Drosophila melanogaster: one gene and its partner. The protein of the gene in region 1 interacts with the protein of each later gene in a pairwise test. Each region holds a gene or a part of one and is shown on either strand. Other genes may lie near its edges.

The links. The genes of interacting proteins can lie anywhere in the genome.
Region 2: the proteins of CG3632 (region 1) and CG7556 interact in a two-hybrid assay, tested with the Drosophila melanogaster proteins (one large-scale study listed by BioGRID).

The regions. Positions count from the first base shown.
Region 1 is NC_004354.4:16,294,957-16,302,713, reverse strand, and holds the start of CG3632 (uncharacterized protein), read right to left. Parts: upstream 6,044-7,757; 5' UTR 5,939-6,043; coding exon 5,924-5,938; exon of another isoform or gene 5,807-5,923; intron 5,632-5,806; exon of another isoform or gene 5,475-5,631; intron 5,073-5,474; exon of another isoform or gene 5,054-5,072; coding exon 4,930-5,053; intron 4,866-4,929; coding exon 3,874-4,865; intron 3,695-3,873; coding exon 3,504-3,694; intron 3,439-3,503; coding exon 3,243-3,438; intron 3,175-3,242; coding exon 2,989-3,174; intron 2,920-2,988; coding exon 2,755-2,919; intron 2,684-2,754; coding exon 2,557-2,683; intron 2,489-2,556; coding exon 2,383-2,488; intron 2,317-2,382; coding exon 2,006-2,316; intron 1,944-2,005; coding exon 1,839-1,943; intron 1,776-1,838; coding exon 1,190-1,775; intron 1,114-1,189; coding exon 963-1,113; intron 902-962; coding exon 797-901; intron 505-796; coding exon 302-504; intron 1-301. Other genes in the region: ERp44 (endoplasmic reticulum protein 44), read left to right, coding at 6,348-6,404, 6,583-6,667, 7,400-7,491, 7,596-7,757.
Region 2 is NC_004354.4:19,175,575-19,181,809, forward strand, and holds CG7556 (uncharacterized protein), read right to left. Parts: upstream 4,257-6,235; 5' UTR 4,106-4,256; coding exon 3,426-4,105; intron 2,674-3,425; coding exon 2,466-2,673; intron 2,389-2,465; coding exon 1,708-2,388; 3' UTR 535-1,707; downstream 1-534. Other genes in the region: CG7453 (uncharacterized protein), read left to right, coding at 4,705-5,619.

The sequences.
Region 1 (7,757 bases):
TATATTCTTGATTAGCATAGTTTACACTGTTAGTATAGTCATGTATCCCAGTAAAGTAAGAAAATTATAACACGCTTTCAACTCAAGTTGAATATGAGCTTTAGGAAAAGAAATTGAATAGTCAAATTTAATCGTAATATTGCACAGTCATAAAGAAGGTACTCGAGTCTTAGTTACTGACATTTAAGGTCTAGGAATTTTGTATCGCTAAAAATGGTAATATTCAACTCAAGTCGAAAATCATACATATTAAAAATCTTTTAAGAGTAAATCATTAAGGTTTCAAGTGTTGGATGCGCACCGACAATGATGTTTTCTTCGTCCAAGCCAGAACTCAGTTTGACAACTAGAGCAACGCGAAACTGCATGGTCTGGCACCCAGAGGACACTGGAGGCTTTTTTCTCTTGAATCGAGGAAGGGGCATACGAGGCGGGACCACTACGTTCTTCGACGGCCTCCCAGGAACATGTTGAAGCATTTTCAACGATATCCGATCCATTTTCCTAGAGAAGAGTTAAATAATTAGACGACTGACAGTTAATGCACATTGTAACTTATGATTAGATGGCAGAGTATTGCCCCTGATTGAAACACCACCACCACTTCGCGCTCTGGTGATTTAAGGATGAAACAAATTCATATTTTACAGAATATGCACTGTGAGAATCCAAAGACCAAGGCCCATGTTTTAAACAAATTGGGCAGTCACTTTGCACCGAGGGTCTATAACTAACATTAACCACGCTTTTCAAGAATATATGCACGCATTTTGTATCTTAAACGATCATTATTTACATGTTCCATATTTGTCGAAACGATGCTGTTGCAGCTGGGGCAACCTTTTTCCAACAGAGCCAGTCGCATACCGTGTATTTCTCGCAGTAGCATTTCCTCACGTAGCTGAAATAGTGTATGTGATTAAAATGACTATAATGAAAACTGCTTTTGCACCGGAGCTCACCTTGTGTTCTTGTACGATTTGGTGGAGTCTTATGTTTTGTTCGCTGAGTCCGTGAGCCAGGCCATCTGGACAGGATATAGTGAACTGAGCCCTCTCCTGAAATGGTGTTGGGGGCAACGAAATGATCCCCGACGACGGAAATTGGTGTGCGCTGAAAGTAGAGTTTTTTTTTTTTTTGATTCAGTCCAATGGGAGATGCCACCAGTGAGAAAGTACACACAACTCACCTGCCATTTTCAGCCGTGAACTTCATATCGCGACTGTAGCTCGAGCCGAAGGTATTTCGCCGTATTCGTCCGCCCGTCGAGGGAGCATCGAATGGCGACTGGCCCACGAACCGCTGAAGGTCGGGTGATATAAAGAGACTTTCCTCGCCGTTGTAGCCATCGGATGCCAGCAGGGATCCGTTGGCATTGGCATTCGCATTTGCATCTTTGGCTAACTTTTCCGGCTTGCAACGGTCCGGATTTCCCGTCGTCTCCCTTGGCACTTGTAGGTCCAGGTGATGGGGAAAAGCGTCTACCCGCTGCGGGCATATAACGGCATTCGGTCTTATGTGTACCTTGGGCAAATTATTGTAGCTCTGACTGATTTTACTGGCTTGGACAGTGCTAGTCGACTCCAGCTTTCTATCACCACTGACCAGTTCCATTGTGGGGGATGTTATGTGATCTCTACTGCTATTGTCGCTGTTTGGTTTTTGTACGGGCTCCGCAGGAATAAGGGTATCAGTGCTGGTTTCAATTGCGCCATGCCACAGGGCGCGAGAAATATCACTTGTGTCTTCAGATTTTAAAGGAACTGGACTTTGATCTGAAATCATTAAGATAGTTAATGTAACGTATTCATTCTATTCTTCATTCTAACATCTCTTACCGTTTTCGGATGAACCAAATATGAAAAAAGGTCGCCCAGATTCAGAGTTCAGTTTCTGTGAGGTCGCCAAGGATTCTTCAGATTCCGAAGGAACTGCATTTTTATCTAAAACCATTAAGGTAGTTAAGTTTAGTTAAGTTCTTTTGCTTTATCCTAACATCTTTTACCGTTTTCGGATGAGCCAAAAATGAAGACAGACCCAGGGATCAGCTGTGAGGACTCCAAGGAACTTCGCCTTTGCGTTTGTGATTCCACTTCCAATATATCACGTTTAGAAGCTGTACTTTGGTCGTTATGGAAATCTGGAATGGGATTATTTGAACGGCCACATGGACCTACTTCAGTTGCATCCGTCACGTCCAGCTCTACTTCTTTGGAGTCTTTAACACTTTCTTGGACATTTTCGCTAACACTGTTGTTGGCCTCGGATCGTATGTCAAACATCGAGTTGCTATTGGCATTGAAACAATCTGTAACACTGAATCGTAGGGAAAAGAACGAAATTCATTTTGCTGCCGGATCAAATAATCTTCAGTTGACCTACATGGATTCAACGGTCAGGTTGGGATCACTGGACCTCCTGGAAATGGTGCTCTGTCCCAACTCATTCGTTGTTAAGTCTTCAGAAGATCGTGTCTTCGCCATGAGGCCTATTGGTTGTGGCAGTAAGGAGTAAAAAGTGAGTCAATTTCAATTAGGAGTACTCTACTCAACTCACCATTGTGTCCGCTCTGTCTTTCATTACTTAGTAATGGTAGATCAGTTCCATTTTTGTTGCCTAAACTACCAAGGTATACATCAGACCAAAAATATAAAAACCGCACACTGTGCGCTGGCCAAAGAACCTAAAAAAAAAAACACAAAAATCATTAGCATTCTCCTTTAGGCTGACAGCATATATCAAGTTATTAACCACCTTTTCAGTCTCATGCTTATAGAGAGGATTTCTATACATAGTTTCCGCTAAAAATGGCCACACGGAAAACGTTCGGTCGAAAACTGAATTCTCGATGCGTTCTCTGAGCGAATTACATAGGAACGTGCCGAAGAGACAGGACAACGAATGTTGCGCCAGTTTGATCTAAAAAGAATGCATATAACAAGGAGTTAATGTGCACAACTCCGTGCGAAATTCCATGCCACCACTTACCAAATAGCTTATACTAAACTCAAAACTGCATGGATACTGCCTGTGTATTTGATGCACAAGATCAAGCCACTGCAGAAAAACTGGACATCGCTCGTTAACTTCATCGGAATTGGGACCATTTCCAGAGCGATCGGCGAATTTGTGTCCAAAGTTCAGCCATTCACGCTCGACAAGAACGCGGAACCCCTGCAAATACAAGCAAGTAGGTAGAGTATTAGTCCATAGAACACAAATGTTGATGTATATCAACGTACCTCAACCGTTCTGTAGTAGGGATCCAAACATAATTGCGCCGTGGCCACGATCTGTGGAGTGCGATCCCAACCGTCTGAGCAATGTACAAGGACGGGTCGTCCATTCTTCTCGATGGTGTGCACAACGGTCATGGTGGCTCCCAGCAGACCCGACAGGTGCTGCATCCACATGGTCTTTTCCAGTTGTCCGTACCAGCTGCAAGAATATGATTCCATTACATAAATATATATATATCTTTAATAATCAGCTAGTAAACTTACTTTGGATCATCGGGGGATGACGCGCATAGCTGTCGGACAGCGTGGAAACTCTTTCGAATGGCGTGGATGTTGCCCAAGTTCATAAACTCAATCTCTGCACAGGGATAGTACTCGATGCACTCACAGCCGCCACCTCTGGCACGATTTGTAACTGCGGAGGTGTAGCTGCGAGCATCCACAATGAGGATTTTCTGAAAGCAAATACAATTTAAGAGCAATGATCAAATTATTTCATTAGCACTTGGCGGTTTTGACATCATTTTACTGCTCCGTGTTAAGTAATTTATGATAATTATTCATGAATGTTTTCTTATATGGTAACTGAAACCTTCATTTCAAGAATACCCGGCTATTTTGGTAATAAACTTACCTTGATTTCATCCAGCGTGAGTTCCTCATGCGAGGAATCGTCCAGAGATGGTGAACTCTTGCCGGATAAGCCCGACTGGCCGTTGGTCTCCTTGGAGCCCTTTGTTGGTTGCGCCTTTGCATTGGCGCAGGTGGAATGCCTGGCGTGCTCGCCCCTGTCAAAGGCACAGGCATCGGCGAGTGCCTTGAGTAGCTGCTCGTCCCTTGTGTTGCGCCAGCCGAGCCAACCGACCTCCGGCTGGCTGCATCGGGCCAAGATGGCACCCGACTTTTGGTGCCGCCAGACGACAGCCGGCAGCCTTCGTGATCCCCGGAAGTTGGCCACGTTGTGGAGCATCTCATCGGTGATACAGCAGGGCACAAGCAATTTGGGTGGATACGAGGGACAGAGCTTAAAATCGGCATTGGCCGTGGAGATGCGCCACGAGCCCTTCAGATCGAATCCCAAGCGGGCAACCTCGTTCTTAAAGTCGCTTTCATAGCGCACTGATCGTTGCAGGCGATTGCTCATGGCGGCTGAGATGGTCTCGCTGGCAGGATCGGGCAGAGGATTCGACGCTGTGACGTTGGCTGTTGGCTTTGCCAAGCCATTGTGTAGCGTTAGGCAACGATCCTTGGCAATCAGGCCGTTTCCGTTGGCCTGGGCGCTAACGATACCGCTTCCATTGCCACTTCCGAGCACATCGCAGGTCCAGGAGTAGAAGGGAAAGGCGAAGAGTGTCTCCAGTGACTCGGGAACCCCGATCATCAGATGGATCCGGCGCTGCCAGTCGGAGCACTGTTCCGCCGACGGAAAGGAGCAGCGCACAGTGCTGGCATCCTTACAATTGACAATCAGCTGGAACAGATCTCGCACCTGTACGGATTCGATTAATCCCAATGGAACGTAGGTCTCGTAGCCGGTTGACTGCTTGGAAAGGAATATCCGATAATTGGACAGGGCGAGGATACCATCATCCGTGCGCCCCAGGTACTTAATCGATTCGCCGGCCACTAGTGGTATATATACTATAGATTAGCATGTGTTATCGGTTACAGCATATGGGGGAACACCTACACTCTTGAAACGGGACGAACAGCTGGGAGTCTTCCTTCTCCATTTGTGACTTTGGATACGATTCGGCGGCACGGATAAAGCAAATCGATGGAGGCGGTGATCCATCGGACATTGTGTGAATCGGCTAAAAGAATACTTAACATGTAACGTATTCGAAATTACTTATTTGCTTATATTTAGGCAAGGCGATTTGGGTGTCATTGGAAATCCGGTTATCGCTTATAAGTGCATATATCTCTTATATCCACCATCCGAATACATAATTACGCACAACAGTGTGTGTGCGATGTTATTGGGACGATTCGATACGTATAGTATAGTGGCTCCCATAAATAAATAAATAATACTATGCACATATGTGCATGTGCATTAAGCAGTGCACAAACAAAGCCAAATAAATGTCACTGGGATGATAAATTGGGCACAATCAACACTTTTAGAACAAATCGAAGTTAATATTTGAGTTTTTGAGTGTCGTGGTGGCAATATAGATAATGCACTGCATATATATGCACGTATGGATGTACAATGTACAATGAACATACATTTATGTGAGCACACACAGTTGCAGTTCCACAAGGTGCGCAATATATAGTATGCACATATTTGTGTGTCGCTGCATTACATACGCACGCACATATATACCAATAGACTAGATTATCACGATTTCATAGCCAATAGGCGAAAAATGGCCGATTATCGTACTCAACGTATTCTAATGGCCGTGTATGTTGTCATAAACAAAGTAATTAAACATTTACGCATGTGTATGTTTGCATAAACTCATATGTATATTTGTCTATGTAGGTATGTTTGTGTTTCGATATTTCGGGGAGCAACAATAACACATTACAATCGTACATATGTATGCACACACATTTGGTTTTTGGATTCCACAAACCGTTCGCTCAGCAGACTTTTCGGGGTATTTAGCTCAAAACGTATTGCCGAATTGAAAACGCGCTTGGCTTCTAGATTTTCTCGCTCTATTTACCACCATAAAATCCATAAGCGTCAGCTATTATAAACAAAGATTTGCAAATGTTGTTGCACATACATATGTATGCATATGTATTCATTTAGACACTTTTTGTTTCATTTCCATTGAAATTGCTATCGTTGTTTGCTGCTATCGCTGTTATCGCTGCTGTTAGCGATGGCCAAGTCATGTGACTAAGCTATCGTTACTCGATTGCCGATGAGATGTGCATTCGAGACTAACCAACACTGGCCAGCCGATAAAATCAACCAAAAATTTGTAAAACTTAATAATTGTGCGTACGTTTGCATTCCATTCCAGCTGATGTGTAACTGAAATCAGAAAAAAAGAGAACCGATCGCTTGGACTCTCCGCCGGTGCACGCAATTCTACGCCCACTCCTCGCCAGCCGCATTCGCCATTCGGAAGCCGAACAAGAATGTTTGGAGCCAGAATCGGAATCGGAAAGCTTGGGCCGTGTGTGGCCCTAGTTGCGGTGAGTCGACGTGTTCCGTTCTGTCTGGTCATGTTGCTGGTCACTGGAGTGGCTCACCCGCTCGATCAGCGGGCGGGGAAACAGTGGGGAGGGGCCGGCCAGACAGCCCCGGCTTTTTTTTGGCTCCCCCTAACCAAATAACTAACTAACCAGAACTGACATCCTATGGAATTTACAGATTCTACAGCTACTCCAGTACACACAGCCGGCCGATGCCGCCGGAGCCGTGCCCATGACCAGTGATAATATCGATATGACCCTAGGTGAGATATGCCCATACCATAACCATCACAGTCATCCCCATGCCATTCCCGCTGCCAGCGTGAGCGGGAATCAATTAGCCGACTTGTCCCATTGACGTGTCACTAAACAAAATCACTGGCTCGCTCAATTCGGCACTGCCAACGTGGTAAAATAAGTTTTATGCGCTTTCGTAAAGGACAAGGTGTGGAATTTGGATAAAACTTAATTAGGGCGGTTTATATTTCATGCTGCATCGGTCCGATAGTCCGCCAAAATGGGCACTAGCCATTGGTCGGCAGTTCTTTGCTCAGAATGTCCGAAGTTTGGTCTTTGCATGAATAGGTCCTTTTTATACGGTGTGTCCTGTACACAATCCTGCGGTAATACTATATTGTTTTTTTAAAGTTATTTTTTTTTATTATCCAAACGTTAACTTTTACAGTAAAGCCTGGCCTTAGGCTTGCACCCCTTAAATTTTAACTTTCGGAAGTTATGGAATAGTAGGATGCTAGAAATTTCTTGACTTTAATATGTATATTCAGCGACAAATTTAAATATATTCCATAAAAATACATATGCATTTAAATTATTAATACATAAACCCGTAATTCAATATTGATATAAATATATTACCAAATATATGTTTTTAAAAGTTATTATATTTAGTATCTGAACGGAGTTGTATTCTACGCATCAACAATTTTACACACAATTTGGTGCCTACATTAAAAACACGTTTTGTTTTCTTGCAGCGTCTAATGAATTGGTTTTCCTTAATTTTTATGCGGAGTGGTGTCGGTTTAGTAATATTTTAGCACCTATATTCGCGGAAGCTGCAGATAAGGTGAGTCAAATGGATCGCCAGTAAAAGCTTACAAACAATGCGATACATTCATATACATTTTATATCGAATAAATACGTGGCATTCAATCGAATTTCTCTTACAGATTAAAGAGGAGTTTCCAGAGGCTGGAAAAGTGGTGCTAGGCAAGGTCGATTGCGACAAGGAAACGGCCATCGCGTCCCGTTTCCACATAAACAAGTATCCAACATTGAAAATTGTACGCAATGGGCAGCTCAGCAAGCGCGAATACCGAGGACAGCGTTCA
Region 2 (6,235 bases), 2.9 Mb from region 1:
AAAAACTGGAATCCAACGAATTTCCATTAGCATCAGTTCCAAAGGGTTAATTAAAAAGTAACTCCAAGTATGACTTAACTGAAAGTGATCAAAACGACCCTTAATTAAAAGTGGAAAATTAAAAAAATATATTTTGTAAGTTTAATTGTTCAGAAATAAGATATAAGATATATATATTTGAATATTTATTATATCTCTTATTTGAATTTAAGTCAACGAACGAACAAAAATGCAAGCTACATTTTTTCAAATTTTAATACGAGTATATTTATAGTAGATATGTGTACATATAAACATACATGATGAAAATATAATTACAACATTATTATTGTCTTTTAATTATATTTTTCTATTTTATGTACAATGCATACATTTATCCAAATCGCAACTTTTATGTTGTAAGGTAATTATTTTCAATAAATGTCATAAAGCAAACTTGTATTGTGTGAAAAGTGCATGTTATTATATAACTAATAGATTTTAATCAAACTTTTAAGAAAGTTCCTTCGTCTACAAAGCAAAGAGCATTCAGCTGGAAGTTCAATTCGCAATTCGTTTTCCAGTTGTCATCCAAGCGAATTCAACCAGCTTTCGTGGTGGACAGTCTGACGAGCTCTGCTGCGCCTACACTTGAGTTCGCGGAGTCTAGAGTTTGGAGTCTTGGATCTTGGTTGTGGGTCTTGTTGACGCAGTCTGGTGATTCTAGTGCACAAGCGTTTTAAGTTCAATGCAAACTCGATGGGTGACCAAATTGGGAGGAGGCAACGCATCGAGTTGGCCATAAGCAATCCAACCGGACTGGGCAACCAAAAGCGAGGAGTTGACGCCGTTCAGAGTCACAGTCATAGTCCAATAATCATCAAATGTAAGGCGAGCGTAATTAAAAGCCAATCGTTCCAAGGTTATCCGCACACACACAACCCCATAATAATCCGCCTGCCAGCCACATTAATAATGAATTGGTATCTTTGATTAGTCGCGGGCTTCCAAAAATCGTCAAGAACCGCCGAAAGTGCTTAACTTAGTTTTGATTAATAATAAATCTGAAAGGGAAACTTCTCTTTGATCGGCTGACAGGTTCAAGCCAACTGGGAATTATAATTGGTTAGCGCTTGACTTTGATGGCTTTAAAGCTGCAATTGACATAAAAGATACGTTTTGCGAATGGCGGTTTAGAAAGGCAATAATAATAATTAACCATTCGCGTTTGTGTACATAATAAATTGATTTAATATTGTATGAATGTATTTAATGCTTCTATGATTTATGTATATGTAGTGGCTATGCTGTTGCACCTACTAACTTTGTCAAGTTCTGTTACTTTTGATGTTTATTTTATTAGTTACTAACCTGGAAGTACACCGTATCTATCATCGATGGCTTTATCCCTGACAGAAACCCATCAAAAACTCTTATCCTATTCACTTCCTCTTACATTTCGTTTACTTAGCAAAGGAATTAATCGACATTTAGATGTTTACAATATAGAATTATGTACAAAACATAAGATAAGCGCTACACACGGTGATGGAAACAGAAGGTCAGGGAAGGGGCAGAGGATCGGGCCGCGGATTAGGATTGGCAAGGTCCAAAATGCTATGCCAGAGAGTCTTTAATGCAAAGTATAAAAAAATTCAATTACATCTAGTTGTGAGCCACGCGAGGAGATGCCGCAGCAGGAGGACAGAGCGGGAGCCGGGTTTCCGACTAACTGATCTCGTACTGATATGCATCGTCCGAGTCCTCGCCGCTGGATAAGTCCCGCTTACGGCGACGCTGCTCCCGCTTGCTGAGCTTCTTGGCGGCTGGCGCCACTTCCGGTTCTGGCGGCGCAAGGGGCTCCTCCTCGGGGAGCTCTTCCTCGATGGCGGCCGCATCCTCGTCCGGCTCGTTGGCCTCCTCCTCGGCCCGCTTCTGCGTCTTGACCAGCTCGCAGAGATACTTGTAGCGCACCAGGCACTCCTCCTTGGTCTTCTCCGGCACACTGTTGGCGATCTTCTGCCAACGGTCTCCGCCGGCCGTCTTCCGGTACTTGACTATCGCCGCCTCCAGGGCGCGCTGCTGCTCTTGCGTCCAGTTGGTCTCCGGAATTAGCATGCTCTTCTCGGCTGAAGCTCCTGCATTTGCGGCTGCCTTCTTCACTTTTTCCTTACGCTGCGCCTGCTGGGACTCCTGGACGAGAGCCTCGGCCACGCTGTCAGTTTGGCCGGGAATGCGGTAGCCATTCTCCTTCATCTTGGCCGCCATAAAGGTCACCTCCTGAACGCTGCGGTTCATCGACTCGGCGATAGTGTTCCAGCGGCTGCCAGCTCCGCCAGGATACTTTTTTACCAAGCGAATCAGCTCGGTAAGATCCTCGTCAGTCCAGAAGCCGCCGCTCACCGTGCTCTAAAAGTAAAAGCATGAAATTAGTAGGGTTTCGAATTTACTAGGGAACAGGAAACACTATACTGTCGGCTTTATACCTTCTGGGAAGCTGGACGAACTGCATCGTCATCTGTCAATTCGCGAGTCTGAATCTGCGAATAGCCGCGCAATTCTTCCTCGGTCTTCTCTGGAGCCTTGCTGTTCTGCTTGCGCTTCCGCAGATTCTCCTTGTGCTCCTTGCGAAGGCGCGCCTGCTCCTCGGCCTCCCGTTCCAGTTCCTCCTGACGACGGACGGCCTCCAGTTCCCTGTGGATGCAAATTGGGATGAATCAATTAGTTTCTTACTTCTTACTTTTGGATACCGTTCCCACACGATTTTTGTTAGCTTGTTAGCTATTCTACGCTAATCGAATTTTAGTACCTTATCTGTGGTCATATCAAGAATGCTCAGTTTCATTTGATTATCGTGCGACACAAAGACTGACAATATTCCTTCTTTGGAACCTATCTAATGGTGCAAGTCATCTTAAGGTGCACTCATGAGCACCTTTTTTGGAAAGCATAAAATGTGTTTGCATGGTGACATATCGTTTTCTTTCTTTGTTTCTTAATTGAATTGCCTATATTTAGAAGAATTGTTCTAGCTTGTGAATATAAAATGCTAACTAAAGGCTATGACCAAAATTTCAACTGAGAAATGAGAAACTAACCAACTTTTAATATTAAATGATATCACTCTGCATGCAATGAACATACAGAAACCACAGCGAATTAACGATAAGAGTGGCAATGTAAGTTATCAAAACCTGATGCAATACAAAACTAGAATTATATTCTTTTGTTGCTCTATATACTAAGATATTGAAGACTAAAGTAAGAGAGGTCTGCCAAAACTCCGAGCACAAGGTCGCAAAATAATAATCCTTCCGCTGCCAGGACCTCTCGATATAGAAACTTAATGAAATAGCAAAATCCTACAACTCCAAAATGACTACAATGGAACAAGGCGCTATAATAACGTAAAAACGTAAGGTAAGCAATAGAACCCTGCCACTTACTGCCTGCGCTTCTCCAGGGCGAGTTCCTTTAGCTCGTTGGCCTTGCTGAATCCGTTCTTGATGGTGCGCGGCAGGTTCCACAGGGCCAAGGGGATCTGGATGGGCAGGGTGTTGAGTAGCGAGGGCATCGGTATCTCGCTAAGGATCACGTCCATGTCGATGTTCTTGTTCTTCTTCTGCAGCTTCTTCAGCTTGGTGCCAAAGACCTGTTCGGCGGTGTACTTCTTCTCGAGGTAGGCCGCCCAGGCGAATAGATACTGGCCCACGGTGGTTATCAGGAAGAGGATAAAGGCGCCCTCATAGAGCCCGATCTTGCGCATACGTCGGTAATAGTAGAGGGCAGACTTCCAGTTGGGCATGCCCTCCTTCAGTACCCGGTCGTACTTCTCTCGGCGCGACGGATCTTTGAGAACCTCGTAGATGGAAACGAGGTTGCGGAACTGGATGTTGGCATCCTCGGCCGGATTCTTGTCCGGATGCAGGACAATGGACAGGGTGCGGAAGGCGCGCTTCACCTCGGCGCCCGTTGCCGTTTGGTTGATGCCCATGAACTCGTAGAAGTTGCGGTTTACCTCCTCGACCAAGTCAAAGATCTCCAGTTCCTCCGAGTGCCAGGCGCTGGCGCCAGTGGCGCAGAGCAGCAGGAGGCCGGCCAGCGTCAGCTCCGGTCGCATCATCATCGTGGTCCGAGTTCCGAATCCAGGTCAGGTCCAAATCGGAGTAAAATCCAAATTTAATGCGCCAGACCCACGCACGCACCACAAATACACACACACGCAAGCAAACACGGATAGGCTCAGCTGGAAAGTGGCAACGTCAGCAGACTGGTCGCTGGTGCGACAGCGTTGCCACCACTCGGTAAAGTTTGTGTAGACAAAAAGATATTTGCAACGTTTCTATTATTTATTTTTACGAATTTCTGTTTTTTTGTTCAAAAATAATTTACTGCACTAATTCTGTAACCATATATATGTAATCAAATTTTACAAATTTTTTTTTCCAACTAACGACACACAGTAGGTCAAACAGATTTCGTTTGTTTGCTCATTAAAATTTGCTCATAACATTTGTCAAGTTCTTCCTGAAAACAATAAAACAAATTCTCTTTCTATACCGAATTTTGTTTTAACTTGATACACGTTTTTCACCTGTTTCAAACCAAAACGCCCAACACTGTCGACTGTTATCGATAAGCTCTCGATGGTGCATCACTTGTGCAACTAAATGAATAGAAGCGACGCGACGTTTCACTCTTATAAGAATAAGAAATCAGACGACAATGAAGCTGCTCTATATGCTGTGGCTGCTGAGCATCTTGGTCCTGGTCTCAGGCCAGCAGAAGCAGACAGCTAACTCCGCCACCAAGGACGCCCCAGTGGTGGCCAATGCGACGAACGTGCTGCAGGCCAAAGTTATTCCAGGATCGAAATTGGAATCTGGATCTCCGGGAGCTGCCAGCCAGCTGGTGCCGGGTAAGGATGCAGCTGTGTTGCAACAGGACAAGAACTTAAACAAAACGGCCACAGCAGAAAATGCAGGTAAAGCCAAAAATCTCACAAACACCGATACAGGAGTGCCCACCATTCCTTTGGTCACTTCCAAGCCGGCTGTGGAGCAAAAGGCGGCCAAGGAGGCGACCAATACGACCTCCACTACAACTTCTTCCACCACGACCACCACCACCACGGCAAAGCCAGCTGCAGGATCAGCCATAGTCACCGAGGGCCAGTCCATGAAGGATGTCACCAAGCCGAGCAACTCGTCCACCAACGGCGCGGCAATATCCCCGACCAACAGCACCCACACCGCCACAGCCACCACCAAAACTGTCAATTCAACCATCATCGCAACCACGCCAAAGCCGAAGAAGCCCCCAGTGGTATTGAGCACTGATATACACCAGGAGGGGGAGGATATGGCGGAGCTGGAAAAGAGTCAGGATAAGCCAGGTACAAAGGGCGCTCCCACCCAGCCATTGGCCACACCACCAGAGCCATTGGTGCAGGGGCTTACTGGAAGTAATCTTGCCGATCACGGAGAGAACGGGTATGTGGTACCCATTGTTACCGTGCTGCTGACCGTTCCGCTGGCCATCGGCGTGGTGACCATCATGTACCGCCGCTTCCGCGACATGTGGAGCACCAGGCACTACCGTCGCATGGACTTCCTGGTGGACGGCATGTACAACGACTGACGAAGACGCGGACGACAGGCTGGCGGCAAGGGCGGCCACTTCACCGGGTGCTCCAACGCCTCCTCCGGCGCACTCGGATGATTATTAGTTGTTTAAGTTATACACGACTGGACGTGCTTGCATTCAATGCAAGATCGCCGGATCGAAAGCAGAGTGAGAGTAGCGGAGAGCAGAGGAGGCGGTGGGAAAACGAAACGAAACTATGATATTGCTCAGTCAATTAGAGGAGGAGGAGAAAGGGATTCGCTTTGCAGCGTGGCTAGGATACCCTTCCGAGCGGCCAAATTGAATTTAAAGCCAACTGATTTTCAACACTAAATTCGAGTGGACTCTTAAGTTTAAGCATTTGGATTATTGTCAAGCATTTGTTAGCAATCAAAAATTGATACCGGCACTTATATGTACCCTATATATACATATATCTACTTAGGCTGCTGCTGTACATCGAAGGCTGCGGACTCTCAACCATCAACCATCAACATCAACATCAGCGCAATTAGCAATCACTTGATGCATCCACAATCTAGCCGTAATGTGCCTTACGAACCAGCTCTATATACACCTTTACACATGATATTCTCCATCGCCGGGTCTTCGAGGTGATTTCTTCGCATTT